2 linked regions of the Danio rerio genome follow. The protein of the gene in region 1 interacts with the protein of each later gene in a pairwise test. Links are inferred from orthologs where the notes say so. Each region holds a gene or a part of one and is shown in the gene's direction. Other genes may lie near its edges. The genes, in order: ctnnd1 and zbtb33.

Region 1 (3,833 bases):
CTACATCAGAGCAACGATGAGACAGGAGCATGGCCTGCCAATGATGACGGAGCTGCTGTCTCATGGGAATGACCGCGTGGTCCGAGCCATGTCTGGAGCGCTGAGGAACCTGGCCATTGATGCTCGCAACCGTGAGCTGCTAGGTGTGTGAGAGAAATCAACCAATCAGATTTGTCATATGCAGGGGTAGAAAGAGAACTAAAAAATCATACACTGGTACCATTACTTGTCCAAAAATGTAGAGTAAAAGTATATGTTGTAAATATTACTTAAAGTACGAGTGAAAAGTAGTCTTTTTCGTAGTACTCAAGAGTGGTTACGTGTAATGATATGAAAGGGTGATGCGTTTAGATGCGATTTGTGCATGTGTGTGAAGCGTAACATTCTTTCCTGAATTTAGTGATTAAGGCCATTTGTTGATTTGAGTCTTCATACAGTCGATATCTTCGTTTTCATTATCCAAACACTCTCTCAGTCATTGCATGTAATGATTTGGTGTCATCTTTGACATTTTAAAGGCTTCCACACTAGATGTTTGCTGAATTTATAAACAGGGTGTCTTATGGTATTAAAAGTTGATAAATCGATTGAGAAAATTAAGGCCCTTAAAATGTATAAAAGTCTTAATCTTGTTTTTACTAGGGTTTTAATGTTTTGTTTATGCGTTGTCCAAAGTGTTTGACTCCAAAAAATCTAAAATATTTATTGTCCTCAATTGGTTAGGGCTAGGTGCATCCAAGCTCCTTTGTCCGGTTGATGTCAAGTAATTTGCGACAAACGCGGGAAGGTGATGTGGCGCTCTCCACATCTAACAAAATCATAGAGCAGGGCTATTCAAATGTTTTGGCGCTCCAAATAATGTGACGAAGACATCGAAATAAATTTAGTTCAGTCGAAAAACAGCCGATATAATTATGAAGTGACTTGCGTCTGTTCAACACAGCACAAGCTGCAGTTAAAGGCTGTTACCTGACGTTAAGTGAGCAGCCAATTGAATACTTAAGCTTAAAGGCTTCTCAACGAAACTGCAGCAACTAAACAAAGTTATGACACATTTTGCTAGTTTAAAATTCCGAGCTACACCAAGGCTAATACGCACAAACACTGGATTAACTATAGCAGCGGGTCATTCACATATTGCATCTTTTCCGCTTGCAAGTTTGTTATTTCCAATGGAAGAATATATGCCAACATGCGTGCGCAAGCGGAGTGATGCATTTGCACCTTCCAGACGCGCGACTAGAAAACATCTCACGCCGTAGCGGTGAGAGTTGTGCGTGGCTTTCAGTGGAATGTAAACGAAAGATAGGTTAGAATTATTACAAATTATTAAAATGGTCATGTATGTATAAACGCAGATGATTACAACCGTTCATTTAAATACTTACTTAATATAAAGCTTAAATTTACATTAGACGTGATAACACCATCATTATTCTTCAGACTATAATCGTACAACCAAAATCTATAATTGTTGCATCCCGAATTGTTATGCAGTTCAAAACATAAAATATGAATGTGTCTGAACATAGAAGAAGCCTACTTAAGCAATGCACTGCTTTTGTTGGGCTTTTAAAATACAGCATTTCATTGGTTGTAAAAACAAATGCCACATTGTACAATGCAATGATGTTATGTAGTTTAAAATACAATATATTAATTTAAAGTTTGAAAAATACAACGTGGGTGTCTTAAGGAGCAAAAACTCTCCATATGGGCTCTTGTATGCTGTTGTGTCATCACTTATATTGCAAGTCATATCTCTATGGTCCATCATTTGGGATGCTTTTCATGAACTGGCCCCCATGACAAACCAATTAAATAGCCTTGCCATAGAGCAAAACAGACGGCAAAATGTGACTATGCATGTTCGCATACTCCTGGTTAGAGAAAGATGAGTTTAAACCGTGGCTGAAACCTGTTGCTGAAAACAACCAGGTAATTTATTTTTTCAAGGTTTGTTTCTTCCGAGCTTGTTTAAGTTCTGTTTATTAACTACTGTTTATTAGGTTAAAGGTTTTATACTGATTAGAACTTAGTGGTGACGTGGTCTTAAAATATTCTGAGAAGGTCTTTAAAAAGTCTTAAGGTATTGAAATTTCTGCTTTGGATTCCTGCTTATACCCTGATAAATGTGATTCACAGAATTGATTATTCTATTAAAAAATAAGTAAATAATAAAGTATTGACTTCAGGTTGACGGAAAATAGTTCAGTAAAAGTACTGATGCATCTAAAATGTACTCGAGGGACAGTACACATTTTTGACAATTTTATTGTCTTCCTTTTTTTCTGTGCAGGGAAGCATGCGGTGCCTAACTTGGTGGCGAATCTGCCAGGCGGAGGTCAGAGTCAACCTGCGCGCGCACTCTCGGAGGAGACGGTGGTGTCTGTTCTCAGCACCATGGCAGAAGTGGTCGGCTCCAGTGTGGATGCTGCCAAAACACTGCGCAGCGCCCAGGGCATCGAGAGGCTGGTGCTTATCAACAAAGACAGGTGCGATTTTAGTAACCGTTTCATCACATTTAAAGAGGAAATAAAATGAAAGGAAAGTAAAGACAACTGATTTATTCTAGTTGTATGATCTAATTTATGATACAGTAATTATTTGCAAAGCTGCATTTAGTGCTGAGCGTAAATGGAAAATTTGGAAAATTAAAAATTTTTATCAATTTCTGAGGTAAATATGTGCCTTCCCTTTAAATGGTGGTCTATTGAAGGGAATAGGGTCAATTTTGAGCTGTCAAGGAGTTTCTTTTACATTGTACACTGTTAAGGTTTTAGTGTAATTTTATCTGCGACTGACCTAAACCAACAAAAATGTTCGCACAATAACAAACTTATTCTTTATAGAAATATTGTCTAACTCTTAACCCTCGAAAATAGGCATGTTTTTTTCAATATTGCACACCTCTTAATGGGATGGTCTACCCCCCAAAAATGTAATTTACTCATGTTTCAAACCTTTAAGTTTCTTCTGTTTAACACAAAAGAATATGTTTTGAAGAATGCTAAAAACCTGTGACCATTGACTTCCTTAGAATAAGTTTTTTCTTCTATTGAAGTCAATGGTTACAGGTTTATTTCAATGGTTAATGGTAGGGTTGGGTACCGAAACCTGATGCCATTATAGTACCGTTACCTTTGTAACCGGTATGTGTTGGATCAAATCAGCATATGAATTTCGGTGTCTAATTTCGGTGCCACTGGTGCTGCGACAAGGACGTTAGAAGTATCAAAGGGGTGCATCAAAGGCACACATAGGTACGCGTTGTCACACCATCTCTAAACATTTAATTCTAAACAACTCAGAGGAATACGGACGGCCGATTTTAGGCGCTTCTTGTTGCTTAGAGAACGGACGCAGACAGTACATCGCATTTGGTGAGTGAGAGTGACTCTTCAGATCAACACGCACGATCACGTTCATTAAATTTGCTTAAACTAAGCGTTCTAAAGCGTATTGTACAAGCAAGGATTCTGACACGGCAACATGCGCACTTGCTCTCTCTGTCAGTGACGGTGCTGGAAGATTATTTTGAGTTTAAGTTATTTAATTATCTTGTTTATGAAGACTGCGGAGTGATGCATGAAAAAAAATAACTTCGCAATTGATTAAAGGAAATATATTAATGCTATGCAAATCTATTAAATATGAATTTGTTTACTTTAAACTTTAATTATATTGTTCTATTAAAATAATTTTTTTTAAAGATTGTAAAATGAGAGATTTTTCTAGAGTCATCCACCATAATTTTGTGGCTTAAAAGTATCTGTTTAGGCTCCGTTTTGGCACTTGTACTGTTTTAAAAGTATCGATTTAGCACCAGTCTC
Region 2 (3,072 bases), on another chromosome or scaffold:
AGAACTTACGAAACAGAATATTGAGCTGAAGCTTGACTACAAAATTAAATCGCAAATCAAATCGAAATTGCAATATTGGTCAAAAAAATTGCAATGAAATATTTTCCCCAAAGCGCACTGCCCTAGTGGGAAGCACTGTAATATGAGCAATAGTATTTTGCAATATTATTCCCATGGGTGTATTGTTGTTGTCTCGAATATCTGCACGTCTAAGTTAAATAAATGAAAGTACATATTACTTTATTATACTTACTCTTCCCCCCACAGGCATGTCGAAACTGAAGCTGATATCAGTAGTGGACACTCAGTATCCAGGATCACTGTTGAAGAACATCAACGATGAGCGCCACAACGGTTTATTCTGTGATGTCACCATAGTCGTGCAAGACCGCAAGTTCAGGGCACACAAATGTGTCCTGTCTGCCTCAAGCACCTACTTCCGACAACTGTTTTCCGTCGCTGGAAAAGTTGTAGAGCTGAACTTCATAAAGGCAGACATATTCGACATGGTCCTTAATTACATTTACACTTCTCAAATGTTCAGAGTTCGATCTGACAGACTTGAAGACCTAATTAACGCCGGTCAAATTCTGGGTGTGACGTTCATAGCTAATTTAGCGATCCCGCTAGCACAAGTCAAGGGATTACCCGGCCTGTCCAAAGACGGCGACAACAACATTGTCAGCTCTCCAGAGAAACCTGAGGATGGAGGAGTGAATATGCCCATCATTACTGAGACCTTCTCACTGTCTGCCGAGGAGTTCAACATGACTGGTGCAAATACAGAAAAAGAGGACTCAGACAGCGATGATGTCCTGTTTGTGTCAAAAACTGAAGCCCCGCAAGCTCAAAAGACTAAAATATCAGATGTTCATAAAAATATCGAAGGAACACCAGAAACTAAAAAACAGAAAGTCACAAATGAGGAAGGAGTCGCCTCTAAAAGCTCAATACCCCAAGAAAAGAAATCGTCAGAAAGAAACGCATCACTCCAAAATAACCTTGATCCAGACGTTGTGATCCTTTCAAGTACTGAAAACAGTAGCAGTATTCTCACTTCACCAGTAGGAACAGGCTCAAATAGCAATCCCAAACCCCCAGCCTGTCCAGACAGCGTCCCTTCAGATCCTCAAAACGTCTCGCTGCCTTCAGACAACATCGAAGTCCTCGGTGTCCAAAAGAAAAAGGTCCTGCTAGAGCACTCCCCTGATCATCCTGGGAAGATCACACTGTCGGATGTAAGGTCATCATGTAGTAGCAGTAACGGACCAACCAACGTAATCCCAGCACTTTCGGTGAAGAAGACAATAACATTAGACAAAGCCTCGGAAATTGATTCTCTATCGCCGGGTTGTAAAGTGTATGCCAACATAGGTGAAAACACCTACGACATCGTTCCTGTCAAAGACGATCCCGGGGAGGGAGCAGCTCCAGGTTGCAAGTCCCAAATACAACCCGACTCTCCCAACACAGCCAGTCTCTCACCAAAATCAAAGAAGAAATTCAAGCCAGATCAGGAGGATCACTATGAAATTATCATGGACGGAAAGACATTTTTCGTGTGCATTGTTTGTAAACGCCCGTACGTTTGCCTGACGAGCCTTAGACGGCACTTTAACACTCATTCTTGGGAGCGAAAGTATCCGTGCCATTACTGCAACAAGGTATTCGCCCTGGCCGAGTACAGAACCAAACACGAAATCAGTCACACGGGGGAACGGCGGTACCAGTGTTTACTGTGCAACGAGATGTTTCTCAATTATCAGATTTTGTCCACCCACTGCAAGCAAGCGCACAACCAAGACCCTTCTGGAAGGAAAGAGAAAGACGACTCGGCCAACAACTTGTATCGGCTGCTGCCTTGTAAAACGGTGCAGTTCAAACCATATTCGTTTGTTTCTGACGAGTCAGGGGGAAGTCCGGTGATTGGTGAAGACGGGACAATCCAATACGTAAACTCGGAAAAGGAGCACTGTACCAACCAGCCACTTCCATCTAACCAAAGCAAAGCACTGAACTGGGATGACATCTTTGTAGAATCGGAAGGACAAAATGCTCGCCCTGCTCCACCTCCACAGCCTGTCGACCAAATAAATGCCCCGGCCAGGAATGAATTTGAGTTTGTTATACCAGAGACATACTGAGCACACTTGCTCAGCGATCTGGCTCAGGTGCCTTCTTCATTTCTTTGTGTTTTATTTGAAAGACAGGTTGTTGTTGCTCTTCTGTGGAGGCCTGTTTCTGTAGCTGGATAAACTAGTGATGAAGTGACTGACTCTTTCTGAAAATTTTCTTGTACAATTTCGAGTTTGTATTTGATTATATAGAATTTTTTTTACCTTAAAAGTCTGAATTTCTGAGGGAGAAGAATAGCAAGAAAATAACTCAGAATTGCAGGAAATAATTTGTATCTCACAATTCTGACTTTTTTATTCCAAATTGGGACAAGGCTTATGACTTTTTTGTTATAATAATTTTATATAGTTTTTAGACAATAATTTTGTTATTTATTGCAATTGCAAGTCTATATCTCATTATTTTAATACAATCTCACAATTCTGATCAGAAAAAGTCACAATTATAAAAATATGAGTAATAAAAAAAAGAAAATTTCTTGCAATTTTCTGAATTAAAGACTTCTCAACATTTGGCCTTTTTTCCTCAGAACTGGGTTAGAAATGCAAGCAATTTGTACATATTTTCTGAACTGTAAAATTATATCTTGAAATTGTGATATGAACATAAACTTTGTTAAAGACTGACAGTTCTGATGAAAAAAAGTATGAATTGCATGATAAAAAGTTCTATCTTGACTTCTGATATAAACAGAACTCTTTCTCAAAAGTAGGACTTTTATTTCTCACAATTGTGAGTGTGTATTTCTGAGATAATATATAAACATAGAATGTGATATATATGAGCAATATCACATGAGTAGCAGTGCTTTATGGCTGTATATATCGGTGCTGGTGAGAGGCATGTGTTGGCACCGCTATGGGTGTGATATTGCGTTTATACAACAGTTCAAAGGCAAAATCGTGTATATAAAAAAAGAAAATCAAACATGGAGAC

The links.
Region 2: the proteins of ctnnd1 (region 1) and zbtb33 interact in binary tests that used the Homo sapiens proteins (3 or more experiments, as listed by UniProt). The link is inferred for Danio rerio from reciprocal best matches to the Homo sapiens genes CTNND1 and ZBTB33.

The regions. Positions count from the first base shown.
Region 1 is NC_133176.1:47,477,392-47,481,224, forward strand, and holds part of ctnnd1 (catenin delta-1), read left to right. Parts: coding exon 1-143; intron 144-2,299; coding exon 2,300-2,495; intron 2,496-3,833. UniProt on the Homo sapiens protein: Key regulator of cell-cell adhesion that associates with and regulates the cell adhesion properties of both C-, E- and N-cadherins, being critical for their surface stability.
Region 2 is NC_133189.1:38,008,360-38,011,431, forward strand, and holds part of zbtb33 (transcriptional regulator Kaiso), read left to right. Parts: intron 1-267; 5' UTR 268-269; coding exon 270-2,144; 3' UTR 2,145-2,171; exon of another isoform or gene 2,172-2,593; intron 2,594-3,072. UniProt on the Homo sapiens protein: Transcriptional regulator with bimodal DNA-binding specificity.